Drosophila melanogaster: one gene and its partner. The protein of the gene in region 2 purifies or fractionates together with the protein of the main gene of each other region. This does not show direct contact. Each region holds a gene or a part of one and is shown on either strand. Other genes may lie near its edges. The genes, in order: Rrp6 and spn-A.

The links.
Region 1: the proteins of spn-A (region 2) and Rrp6 purify together in Drosophila melanogaster (affinity purification with western blotting, with the first as the bait; one study listed by BioGRID). This does not show direct contact.

What each region holds. Positions count from the first base shown.
Region 1 is NT_033777.3:14,880,447-14,888,494, forward strand, and holds Rrp6 (Rrp6), read right to left. Parts: upstream 5,801-8,048; 5' UTR 5,497-5,800; coding exon 5,389-5,496; intron 5,315-5,388; coding exon 5,133-5,314; intron 5,021-5,132; coding exon 3,616-5,020; intron 3,378-3,615; coding exon 2,451-3,377; intron 2,359-2,450; coding exon 2,278-2,358; 3' UTR 2,052-2,277; downstream 1-2,051. Other genes in the region: CG3631 (uncharacterized protein), read left to right, coding at 70-348, 512-1,089, 1,150-1,350, 1,407-1,614; CG33331 (uncharacterized protein), read left to right, coding at 6,136-7,164; CG33332 (uncharacterized protein), read left to right, coding at 7,404-8,048. UniProt on the Drosophila melanogaster protein: Catalytic component of the RNA exosome complex which has 3'->5' exoribonuclease activity and participates in a multitude of cellular RNA processing and degradation events.
Region 2 is NT_033777.3:30,053,504-30,059,161, forward strand, and holds spn-A (spindle A), read right to left. Parts: upstream 2,535-5,658; 5' UTR 2,437-2,534; coding exon 2,359-2,436; exon of another isoform or gene 2,296-2,358; coding exon 1,363-2,295; 3' UTR 1,193-1,362; downstream 1-1,192. Other genes in the region: Jasper (JIL-1 anchoring and stabilizing protein), read left to right, coding at 41-802; Rpp14b (ribonuclease P/MRP subunit p14 b), read left to right, coding at 2,633-2,664, 2,746-3,052; Rpp14a (ribonuclease P/MRP subunit p14 a), read left to right, coding at 3,500-3,531, 3,637-3,940; CG7950 (uncharacterized protein), read left to right, coding at 3,956-4,432. UniProt on the Drosophila melanogaster protein: Plays an important role in homologous strand exchange, a key step in DNA repair through homologous recombination (HR). Binds to single and double-stranded DNA and exhibits DNA-dependent ATPase activity. Underwinds duplex DNA.

The DNA of each region.
Region 1 (8,048 bases), about 15 Mb from region 2:
ATTGCCAGTGCGGCTATCGCTGCGTATACGTAATATTAAAAATAGGCTAACGCCCGCCCAGGCTGCAGGATGAACAAGCGCAGCGTCATCATCGCGGGAATCGTGGCCAGCCTGTTGGGCTTGGCGCTCGGTGCCAACTTCTACTTTATGTACTACCTCAGCGCCGAGGAGGGTCATCTGGCCAGCGTCCGGGCGCTGGAGAACATGATACGGCACAAGATGCGCCACCTAAAACCCAACTACCTCAATCGCAATCCCCGCTTCTTCATGTTCCGCAACAAGCTGCTTAAGAACTACAAGGCGGCGCCGTACGAGAACGCCAGTGTCCTCTGGGACATTGCGAACTGGGTAAGTCGATGGATCTTAGTGGGTCTGCCAGAATTGCTATGCTCGTGATTTATGTTTGGCTGCTTATGCAAACAAAATAAGGAAATGAATTTTTAATAGGGGAAAACATTCTATATTATAATATGCATCTAAGTATATTCACTAAGCATTCGGTGACTTTCAGTGGCCGCACGAAAACGAGGTCTATCCCTTATACGACTCATCGATGGGACAGCTTTTAGAAACACTGCGCCGCGAACCTATCACCCGGGTGAGCAACCTGGGTCGGGGCACGCAACTGAAGCTCCTCGTCCGCCTTTCCCACCAGCAGAAGGTGATCTTTAAGCCGCAATGGTATCCGCGGGAAGAGGTCATCGATGGCATGATATACAGTGGCAAGGATCGCCACACGGCGGAAGTATATGCCTTCTATCTGGGCGCCGTGCTCGACTTTCGATGGACGCCCATAGTGGTGGGTCGAGTGGTGAACCTGAAGAAGGAGATATATGCCAAAGGCGATCCGGAACTCCAGCAAACCATAAACATCGAAACGGACGAGGATGGCAGGGAGAAGTACTGCCTGTTCGGGAAGTGTCACTACTGCAACGAGGAGGAGACTGTTTGTGGCGATGAGCGGCACAACATTGAAGGTGTGCTCATATATATTGTTCCGGGTACGTTGGCTAAGCGGCGATCACCGTGGCAACGCACCTACAAGGATGACAAGCGGGCGCCCTGGGAGGACGATATGACCTATTGCAAGTGAGTTCCACACTTCAACTTCACTCTATAAACTTCTAAATCAAAAATATTATTTTTCAGATCGTTGAAAAATAAAATGGAGACCATCCGCCTGCTGGACCTTATAGATGCGTCTATTTTCGACTACCTAATCCAAAATGGAGATCGGCATCACTACGAGACGCGGGAAGAGCGCGTGGTGCTTATAGACAATGGAAAAGCCTTCGGAAACCCGAACAAGGATCACTTGGACATATTGGCGCCACTCTACCAATGCTGCCTGTAAGTCTTCGACCAATTTCCAAATACCTATAACTATTTACGTTTATACCTTACAGTCTGCGAAAGTCCACGTGGGATCGCCTGCAAGTCTTTTCCGGCGGCGTACTCACGGAAATCATCGATCGACTATCCAAGCAGGATGCTCTCTATCCCCTGATTACGGATAAGCATAAAAAAGGAGTGGAGCGACGACTTCTGGTGGTCTATGCTGTTGTGGAGCACTGCATGGACATCGAGGGCGACAAAATGTTCAAAACTCTGTAGTTTCAGCTCAAGATTGGGGCTAATGGCCAGCACTAGAGCTTTAGGAACTCACTTTCCACATCCTACTTAAGCTAAAGTTAGATAGAGAAATTATCGTATTATTTTAGTCCATGTTTTACTTCTGTATTTCTTCCAAATATTTAAATGCCCGAAACAGGTTTTTTCCTATTTTAAATTAAGTTCTTTTGTCCTTTCTTGTATTGGTTTGAATGCTAGAAAAGTTTTCGAAAAATTGAGATGCCATCCAATTAGGAATTAAATCATACAAAATTCGTTGTGACGAAATAAGTTTGAAATTTAAACCTATTACCATGACATTTCCCACGTCCCAATTATTATTTGGTTTTCCCATATTTTTTCAATGACCATCTCTTAAAACTGTTCTTAAATATTGAACTACAAACCGATCCATAACAACATATCCGATAGTCTAGTTTAATGAATAGTTACGGTTGTTATTTAATAGGTAATATTTTAGAAAATTGCAAAGCTCAGAAAAAATAGTTTTGTAACTTGAAAAGAATTTATAAACAATCAAAAATAAACACTTGTTTATTTCTTCATCAGTTTCATCAATCAGTTTTCGTGTTGCTCGCATTCTTACTATTGAATTCACATATATACCAGTTATGTATATTTTACAGACTTCGTCACGATTGCAGTTCATTTTTTGCCCTCTTTTCTTACATTACTAAATGTAAAAAGCTTGTTGAACTGCTTGTTGTTCCGATTGTTGGGACGGTTCTAAAAAAAAAAACAAGCGTTATAAATGTTTAGTGAAGAGATCGTTTCAGTAAAAGCTAAGCCAGCTTGTTAATACTTTTCATAGCACTCACCTTGCCGCGAATTTGCTGCTTGATTTCTGTGCCCCGGGCTCTTTGCGCTCCTCCCTTGAATTGCCGGAAGTCCACGTTCTTGTAGTCAAAGTTGCCTGTACCCTTGTGCTGCGGAACCTGCTGACTGGAGCTCTGCGGGTGGTTTCCTCGATTCTTGGCCTTGAATCCGCGCTGGAACTGATTTTTCTTTTGCTTGCGGTTGTTCTGTGCCGGTGATGGTTTCGGTGGCTCTGTGGCTTGCCTTTCGATAGGAACCTCAACGACCTCATCATCGCTTTCGCCTAAAGCCTGCTGAACTTTTTCGACTGGTTCGATCTTTACCGGCGGTTTGGTTTGTGAATTCTCGTCCTTGCGAGGTCGCTTGCTAGCAGTCGGCTGCTGTTCCGGATCTGTTTTCACGTTCGCTTGTGGGTGCTTGCGCTTCAGTTGTTCCTTCAGCGGGACGGAGTACATGTCATCATCCTCCTTTCCGATGGCGTGTGCCTCCAGCTTAATGTTTTGCTCCACAGTTGGGGCTGCTGGACACAATTGCCTCTTTTGCAACTCACTTCGCTCCCTGGCCAACTGATCGGCCTTCAGCTGCACCATCAGAGGTAGGATGGCGAGATAGCGTTTGTAGGGCATACGCATTGTCTGGCTCTCCTTGCGAAGATGGGCCCAGCGCTGTTCCTCTTCTTGTGTCGGCTTGGACTGCTTTTCGAACAGAGCCATGGCTGGTGCCGCTAAGGTTGGATCTACTTTGGCAACCTCCTCCTTATTGGGCACCTCCAGTTTTCCTGTAGTTGAATTACGTTTCAACAGCGTTGGCAGGTCGTCGCGAATCTCCTCCAGTTGCGAAAAATCGTGCGGACAGTAGAGCTTGCTGCTAAAGTCTTTGGTCGACGGAGGCAACGCTGCCTGTGTACTACTGTGGGCTTCCAGGATCGGCTAAAATCGTAAGTAAAGTCAAGAACATTAAACATTAGATATACCACCCCAACACTTGGTAACATTAAACCTATTTTAGTTGACCTGCGGTTGTGAAATGAATTGAACTATAAGGTGAATTCAGAACATGTTCTTCATTTCAATGTTAGTTACAGTTAATTGGTAATGAAAAATTATCGGTATAGGCGCCAACGTTGATCGAGTTGCAAGCGCTGCTTGAAACCGCCAAGAAACTCACTTTGACCAGCGGCTGATCGCGCGCCTTGAGGACAATCTGGTGAAGCGTGTGCAGCTGTTGGCGCACCAGCGGCGGAATGGGATTGCAGCAGGCGAGGATTCCCTGCATCTCCCTTGGAAGACTCTCAGCGATTTGCAGCATCATGTGATTGGGCAGCACATAGCCGTAACTCTCGTCCTCTGACCGCGCCGTCGCATCGCGCCACTCGAAGATTCCGCGAAGTGCGTACAGTTGCCGGTTGTCGAAAGAGCGCTTCGTTTTTCTTACTAAATCCAAATGGGATTCTGGTCCGATGTGAGGCTTATTATAACGCTTCTTGCAGACATCCGTGCTCTGTTGATAGACACTGCCCAGCAGACCTGGTTCGGCATGCTGCTGCAGCAGATCGTTTGTCATCCGTCCGTAAACGTATATCAAAAAGTGGGTATCCTGACGAGCGTAGTCCACCAGCTGCTGGGGAAGCGGTCTCATCCGCCAATCGGCCAGTTGCAGGCTCTTGTCCACATCCAAGTCCAGATAGTGCTTAAGCAAATATGCCAACGATAACCTTGCCATATTCAAGGCTTTGGCAGCCCGATGCGTGTCGAACATGTTGACGATATACAACGATAAGTCCCGCTGAAGCCACTCAATATCCAAATCGGCGCCGTGCAGTATCTTCAGCTTCTTGGGATCGGTGAGTACCAAATTTAGTATATGCATATCATCGCGTAGGATCAGGGTATCAAAAATATAGTCTTTGCTGCGAGTAGACATCTGGACCAGGCAAGTGATGCCCATGAAGGTGCGATACGAGTGGTGCTCCACATCTATGGCGATCTGGGGCGCTTGTCTCAGTTCCTCCAATGCCTGCTTCAGTTTTTCCACCGTGTCAACCACCATTAGTTCGGTTTCTGCCATCAGAGCTGGAAGCACTGGCTTTTGTTTTTGGAACTGCTCCTCCGGAGGCTGAAACTTAAGCAGCTCAAACTCGTAGGGATGCAAATAGGATTGGACATTGCCGGCATCATCGTATTCGGGCAGCAGGGCCAGCGGTTTAAGAGAATTAGGTTTCTCCTTGAGTCTTGGAACAAACGGATTCTGGGCACTGTTATCCACCGGCTCCCTAAATTGCGTCTGCGGCCGAACGATGTTCTTGGCGGTGAAGAGACGAGCCGAAACCATGCTGCGTTGGGGTGTTCCTGTCGTTCTGTTCCAGCTGCCTGCCTTTGGAGTCCCTTGGGTTTGTGGGGAAGCTACTGCGGGCTCTATGGATGTGGAGCTGCTCATCACGTCCACCTGGGCCTCTACGACCTGTTGTGTATTTCTTCGCAGACCACCTTTAATGTCTAGATTAGTCGTAATGCGCTCGAACAGTACGTCGTTGCACTCCTGCACCATCTCAAACTGCTCTTCCGGTTGGCGTCTGTTTAAAGAATAAAGATCTATTGTTATTTACAGATACAGGTACCAACTTTGATTTCAATGGCTGTGCTGTATTTTCAACATTTCGAATAATGTCATGGTTAGAAGCTTACTTTTTGATGTCGCCCTTGATGTCCTTGGAGTGCAGCACGTTCCCGATGAGCGCCACCACCCGTTGGGTCAGGTCTTCCATAACACGTGCGTAGCCTGGATAGCTTAGGTAAAGGGCGCGGGCTGTTCCTTGTGGGAAAGCATTAGCGGCTTTTGTGGCGGCGATTGCATTCTTGAACCCTTTCTGGAATGTCAGAGCAGAACACGTAGGGATTGGATTGAAATATACTTATGTACGCTGGCTGAATTGCTACCCACGTTTGTGAATGCCTCAACATCTTCTGAAGCGGATTTCTTTGGCGGCTGGTCTGCTTGGGCCGATTCCTCTTTGGCCTCCTGGTGAACTCTTTTCGGGGTTCGCGGCATGTCTGTATAGTGTTTCCTTGTCGAATGTCTTGTGTTATTTTCGTACAAATTTTTTGTCGTTTTACAGATTGTGGAAAATGTGCGTGTTTTCTCTTCTTCTTTTTTGAGAATAACAACAGCTTGAATTTGGAGTTTGTCAACACTACCGGCGGCGAAATTTGATCACTATATAGCACTAAAACGGTGCTGACCGCAATCGAATTAAATCGATATGAAGGTGTATTTTACAAATGTTAGCCAAATTTGGAATGGTGATATTTCGTTATGTTAAACCGTAAACAGAACCTGCTTTGATGAACAATACTTTACAAATTCTTTTTAAAAGCAAAATGTTATTATTATATTGAACTAAATATATATTCCTTTCAATATAAATTAAACTGAATAAATATTTTCTTTGTTAAATATTTGGTCTTTTCTTTTATTTTTTCAAGAGGGCGCTAAATTGTTCAAGTGAAACCCTGAACAAAATTTTCAGCCAGCTGATTGCCAGTGTGTACACCCCTCCGGCGCCGGCGAAAAGCGAGGAGCTTGACCGAGAAGCATCAACTCCATCCAGAAGAAGTGGAGTTACGTGCTAAAAAAAAAGTAATTATAAAGCCTAAGTTTAGTCCAATTAGGAGGTAAAACACGCACAAGATGCTGGACCTATACAGACGCACGGTGGCGCGGTTTCCTCTGGGCAGTGTCAGCTATATGTTCGCCTACGGATCCGGCGTCAAACAGCAGGAAGGCTATGGAAAAGTCGGCAATGGAAACAACCTGCGTCCTCCGCCGGGAACCGTTGTGGATCTGGTCTTTTGCGTTCGTGATGCTAGGGGCTTCCATGCGGAGAACCTGCACCGTCATCCGGACCACTATTCCGCCCTTAGGCACCTGGGACCGAACTTTGTGGCCAAGTATCAGGAGCGTTTGGGTGCGGGTGTCTATTGCAACACGTTGGTGCCTCTGCCAGATGTGGGCATTACCATAAAGTACGGCGTGGTGTCGCAGGAGGAGCTGCTGGAGGATCTGCTTGACTGGCGGCATCTTTACTTGGCAGGAAGGCTGCACAAACCAGTGACGAATCTGGTCAATCCTTCTGATAATCCTCCCCTCAAGGCTGCGCTGGAGAGGAATCTTGTATCCGCGCTGCAAGTGGCTCTGCTACTTTTACCAGAGAAGTTCACTGCCTACGGACTTTTCCACACCATCGCCGGACTGAGTTACAAGGGCGATTTCCGTATGATTTTCGGGGAAAACAAACAGAAAGTGCACAACATAGTTAGTCCGCAAATCAATGACTTCTTCGCCCTATACCAACCCTCCCTGGGACAACTTTCCGACTATGTGGCGGTAAACATGAAGGGCCAGGAACCAGGGAGCCGGAAACCAGCCATAATCTTCGAGCAGGACAAATCCTCATCGGCTACATGCCAACACCTGCGACAGTTGCCCCGAGAGCTTCAGAAGCGATTGCAGCGAAATGCCGCCTGTCGTGGCGACTACACCCAGGTGGTGAATCACCTATCCATGGCCTCCCAGCTTCCGGAGGTGCTGCAGGCATCCGTCAACGACATTGTGTGGCGCAGCAGTGTCACGCAATCGATCAAAAATATTCCCAGTGCTGGCATTCTCAAGTCATTGGCGTATAGCTATCGCAAGGCTCAAAAGACATTCGCTGTTTAGGTTTATTTTTCGGGTTAATCCCCTGGCTGCCAATCATTCTACCGACTAAGTTGTCCCATCCAGCTGCATTTTGTTAAATACTTTTAAGCTTTAAAGTTGTTAACTGCAATATAATGTTTAGCCCAATCCAAAGACCTGAGTTTTCTTGGGGATTCTCTCTTTTCACATCCAATGGACCTCTTTATAACCTCAGGAATATCTTGGTTTACTTATTATTTCATTAATTGTATTTGCAGATCATGTCCAGCGACGACAATAGTAGTGATAGCAATTCGTCCAGCGATGAAAGGCAAAGGAAACGGAAGCTTAAGAAGCACAGCAAAGATGTGGACAAGTCCAAAAAGAAGAAGTCGAAAAAGCACAAGAAAGAAAAGCGTCGCCACAAGGAGAAGAAACGCAGCAAGCATGAGGAGGAGCCACCTGTGCCTTACACGCAACCTCCACATTTAATTAATGCATCTCCGCCAGATGTGGCTACAAACAACGAAGATTCCTTTGGTCCCGCTTTACCGCCGCATTTAAGGAAGACCCAGCAGCCGGAACTCCCTGAGCAAAGCCAACCAGCCCCACAACCGCAGGCCATGATAGGACCCGTCCTGCCCAGCAATTTGACCCGGGAAAAGTCTCCTACTAAGGAAGCGGAAGCTGAGGACGATGATGACCTAGCTGGCACCTTTGGTCCTCTGCCAAATGCCAGTCAAGTGGCTCTGGAGGAACGTGCTTTGGCACTTAAACTGGCAGCTCTGGAGGGCGGGGGATTGGGTACATCTACAGACCAAGATGTCCGCGAAGAGTGGATGCTTGAGCTGCCAGATGTGGGACTGAAGAGCGGCCTTGCCGCCCTGAGCAATATGAAGCGCACTTTCTATCAGGGAAAAGAGCGA
Region 2 (5,658 bases):
ATGAATTACGATACATTGATTTCCATTTTTGCCCAAACAGAACATCCGGAACGAGATGCTCATGGTGTACATGCCCACAGCCAAGTGTTTGGGAATCGTTATAAACTACAAAAAGCCGGAGAGTTTCGAAAGCGCCGCTGCCGAGGAAGCCTGGATGGAGAACGCCCGCAAAGAAGCCTTGGAGCTCAAACTGAAACTAGAGAGCGGCCAAATCAATCCGGAGTCCATGCCCGATAGGATCGTGGTGGAGCCAACACGCAGCGAAATACCCAAGCAGGAGGCTTTGCGATTCATCGAGGAGCTCATTGAGCACGAGGATGCCCTCTTCATGGAGCGAGACTTCATCCAACTTTCCCAGCAGCTGCGCGAATGTTTGGGCCTGCGGCGCGCCAATGTGGGCAAATGCCTGGAGATCCTCGAGCAGTTCAAGGAGGTGGAGTTCACCAAGTTGATGCTGCTGCGCAATCCGGAGTGCGTGGACATAATGCGCCGACTTCGCCGGTATGTGGGCAATCTGGAGCTCTGGAAAATGGACCTGTCCGACGAGGTGGAGTTCAAGGAGAGGGCGCAGACCATACGCAAGGTCTCCTCTGGCATATACGATGGCTTCAAGAGTCTCTTCAATCCGGAGCCCGAGAGCGAGGACAACTTTTGGATCGACTTCTGCGAAAAGGTAAAAATCTACAAGACCTATACGAAAAATATCAACGAAAACCTTCGCGTCGGGATGAACGAGCGCGGATATAATAGCCTGGTTTTGGCCAAGGAGGCCGCCGCTTCAGCCGGATCGGCTCCACAGTAAATGATCGAGGACCAGTTCTGCTGGACCAATTACATGATAAGGTAGGATGGGAAACCGCAAACCGCTGAGTTGAAACACATCTTCAAGAATCCTCTTTCTTGCAGTTACTCGTAAGCGTTACAAACCAGGCAACTTAAAGACCGTGCTTTGGATGACAAAGTTTTGATGAGCCAAGTGGGCTATGCTTAATTCTAGGTTAAAAATTCAGCTAAATTCCTTAATTCTGTTTGCCTGCCAGGTGCATGTCGTGTTACGCTGCGCTGATGGGGCTTTTCCTGCTGCATCCGCTTATTACCAGACTAAAAAAAAGGTTTTTGCTTCGAAACCCCTAAATATTTTCTAAGTTTGTAGATGATTTGAATAATATTGAATTAAATATAGATGGTACATACAATTCGCAACGGCTGTTTTATTTCGTCGTTATCCTAAACATTCTAAGTAAACATTAAAACAAAAAAAAAAACAATCTACGAAGTTTAATTCTTAGTCTAGGGATAAGTAATCATTAGAAAGTTAGGGAGCTCTATTCCTAGCATTAATTAACCTATAAGTGAGCACAATTAGCTCTCCCTGGCGTCTCCTATTCCATCCGGCAGAATGGCGAACATGGCCTCCGATTCCGGCAAACAGGGCGAGTCGTAGATCTTGCAGATGCGGGTTTCGCCTTTACCCTTGCGCAGATACAGCCGCGTGGTTGAGGAGTGGGCCATGATGTGCCCGCCAATGGGCTTCTTGGCATCAAACATGCCGGGTGCGCCGTCCAGCGAGGCAGTAACCTGGTTAGTAATTACCACAGCCACTCCGAACTCATCGGCCAGGCGTTGAAGCATGCGCAGAAATAAGCCCAAATGGTTTTGCCTGGCGGCCAGCTCCCCGCGACCAATATAATCGGATCTGTAGAGCGCCATGGCACTGTCCACAATCAGCAAAGCGTATCTGGACTCAAAGAGCATGCCCGCCGCCATCTGGATGAGCTTGGTCTGCTGATCTGAGTTGTGGGCACGGGTGAAGGCCACATTGTCCAGCACCTCGGATTCATTCAGTTTGTACCTTTGCGCGATGGCAGCCAAACGCTCCGGACGGAAGGTGTTCTCCGTGTCGATGTACATGCACTTGCCCTCGCCGCCCTTCTGGCTGATGGGCAGCTGGCAGGTTACTGCCAGAGTGTGGCACAATTGGGTCTTTCCGCAGCGGAACTCGCCAAAGATCTCGGTAATGGATCCCGTCTCAATGCCGCCGCCCAGCAGTTTATCCAGCTCCTTGGAGCCCGTGCTCAGCTGCACGACATCGGCACGCATTTGATAGAAGGTGCGAGCACTAAGGAAGCCCAGAGGCACCAGTTTGTTAGCCTCCGTGATGATCTGCTCCACCTTGCCGCCGCCCAAGCCGGGAATGGCCATCAGTTGCTTCTTGGTGGCATTGGCCACCGACTCCACGGTGTGCAGACTGGCCTGCTGGAGCAGCTTGATGTCCTTGGCCGTGATGCTGCCGCCCTAGGAGGAGGATATCGTAGGGAATGCCCATAATAATCCTGGTCGAGATCGCAGCCTACTCACTATTAACTTAGTCACGCTGAGTGGACCTTCTTCCTCCTCCTCTTCCTGCTGTGCCTGAACATTCGTTAGCTTCTCCATTTGACAGTTTCGAAGTTAAATTTGACTATTTGTTGTTTCGAGTTTCGTTATTTAAATTGCACGTCTTGCGTGAGAGAATTTCGACAAAGACTGCGCGGCGCGCAATTCACTGCAAAATCAGTTTGCCAATCGCCCCGAACGCACAAAACTCTATCACTACAGAGGATCCCGCTTAAAAGGAACGCGCAAGATCACCATGGCGAACTATTACTATTTCGACATCAAACTGTGAGTAGAATGATGTTCTGCGGTCATTAATATAAACTTGGTTGTTATTAAATTCAGTAAATATATTCATTTATTTAATAGTAAACTTCGGGATCCGACTGCAGTTGCTTTGACCCCATCTCTGTTTCGAAGCTGCGTTCTTGACGCCCTGGACAGTTTCTTCTGCGAGGAGAAACCCACACTGGAGATCGTGAAGTTCTGCGCCCAGCAACATCGTGTTATCTTTCGAGTGCCAGAGCAACTGCACGACATGACCCGCATATCCATTGAGCTCATCGGTCACTACCAGCAGATACCCTGTCATTTTGAGATCTTGGAAACATCCAAATCATCGCTGGACTTTGAGAAGAGCATTGAAAAGACTGTCGCGGTTGTGTCCGATGATTAGGACTAGCGAATTGTAATACTCAGTGTAATATACATTATAACCGTCATGAAGAATTTGAATTTGAATCCTAACTGATTTTACTGTGATCTGATTTTTTTGTCATTCACAACGAACTGAAATGATTTCTGTGATGGCTACTAAATGAGATTAAAAAGCGGAAAAACCCCATAAACTTGTAACCATTTTAATAAAATTGCATTTAAGTAGTTCCAATAACAATTTAAATGTTTTAATAAATGGCTATAATTTTAGCTATTTTATAACTACTCATGTCCGTTGTGAGCCGAGCTGGCATCTCTGGCGGCGCACAGCTGTTTGAGAAGCAGAAAGAAACAGCAAAAAAGGGGAGTAATTACATAAAAAAAACACACTGACCGGCAACTTTTGGACGACTTTTCCCGAAGATTCCGCCAAAAAAAGAGGGGCACTGGCACTTGCACCCAAAGCATGAGTGGTTACCAATATCTGGACGTGAAGATGTGAGTTCCGGGCACTCAGCCCCGCTCCTTAAAGCCCCGTATTTCCCACGTGCGCACGTGCATCATGCAAATATAATTAAGATAATTCACGTTTTTAATCGCCAGAAAACTCCGTGATCCAGACTCCGTGACTCTGACGCCCGTATTCTTCTGTGGCTGCATCCATAGCTCCTTGGCTAGTATTTTTGGCGAAATAGGTGGCCAGACCATACTGGAAATTGTGAAATTTAGTTCCAGCCAAAAACGCTCCATTCTCCGGGTGCCCGAGAACGTCCTGGATCGCGTTCGCGTAGCTATAGCCCTAATAGGATACTACCAGGAGGTGCCCTGCCATTTTCAGGTGCTCAGCACATCCCGAAAGCCCTTGGATTTTGAGGAATCCCCCGAGGAGTTTGTAGCATTTAACTAGCATTACCGCATCAGGATGTCATTCTCTTACTGCAAGGAGTACGGCAAGGACAAGGTGATTTTTGTGACCAAGGAGGACCATGCCACGCCCAGCACCATCGAGCTGCCGCCGCCGGAAAAGCCGGAGGGCGTGATCACCAAGGACGGCAAGATCAACTGGAGTTGTCCCTGCCTCGGCGGCATGGCCACCGGTCCCTGTGGCGTCGATTTCCGTGAGGCATTTTCCTGCTTCCAGAACAGCACCGCCGATCCCAAGGGATCGGACTGCTACGATGCCTTCACCAAGATGCGCGACTGTTTCCAGAAGTACCCCACCGTGTACAACAAATCTGGCGGTGATGACGACGACGATGATGGCTTGAGCGAGGCCTTGGACACGGATGCCGGTTCAGTTGGTGGCCAGAACGCGGATCCGCTGGCGGATGTGGGCAACAACGGAGGCGGCGATGAGCTGGTGTCCCCCAATAGCAGTTCAGTGGTGCCCAAGGCTTAGGTGGGAGTACATAAGATAAGAGCTAGGTGTGACTTCGTACAAAATAAATAAAACTTGTCATTAACTTCAATCCATCCCCACACTATCGATCGTGACTGGGAAACATTTATCAGCCAGATAGTCTGGAATTAACAGAGATATTGTTGAAACAGCATAGTGCTTATTTCAGAAATAAAAGATACTCGTTTTCTCAATTAAATTCTCGCTTTTTTTACAAATAGCGAAATACACAAATAAAAAAATGTAAATGTATCTTGTATTCACTGTAGCCAATAGGCCGTTATTTCCATATGTTGTGTATTTCTGGTATATACTCGAAGCGCTCCCACCTCGTTGGCAGTATTTTTCCACCCTGCTGCCACACTGTTTACGAAGCAGCAATCAAAGAAAACGGAAAAATAAAAGCGTATTAAGATTTCGTGTGGAAAGGAAAAATGCTGTAGGCGCAGTGTAAAATGCATATATTGCGGATAAATCGCGTTTGTGAGATGCTTAAACGCGAATTCAACATCAAGTCGGTGCAGAACTTCAAGGTGCAATAACAAAAATATCCGAATTATCGAAAAAAGCAAAGTGCAATTGGCCAGTTGAGACTACAACCACAATAACAACGACAACAACAGCAACAGCAGTGAAATAATAATATAACCTTGTGTTTTGTTTTTTGTGGCTCAAAAATCAGATATACACAAAGTTAATCGAGGTGAACGGTGTAAAAGTGATTAAATAATAACGGTTTAACAGGAAAACAGAGTTATAGTGTGTGCGAGTGTGTGTGTGCGTAGTGACAACAATACAAACGCAGAAACCAATACAAGCGCACAATAGTTTTCATACATAGGAAAACAACGAAAGTAACAGCGATAAATAATAGAAAACAACAACGAAGAGTCTCAAAAAGTGCTGGAAAAACTCGCGATAAGGAAAACAGGAACCTCCACATCGGCAGATCTTTTGAATGCTGCCGCACTTTGAAATCCGGAGACACAATGGTTTCATTAATTGACACAATCGAAGCGGCGGCCGAGAAACAGAAGCAGTCCCAAGCGGTGGTCACCAACACCTCCGCCTCCTCCTCCTCCTGTTCCTCTTCGTTCTCGTCCTCCCCACCATCTTCGTCCGTTGGCTCCCCATCTCCTGGCGCCCCAAAAACCAATCTCACGGCCAGCGGCAAACCAAAGGAGAAAAGAAGGTGAGTCACACGAATCTGCAATCCGGATACCGCC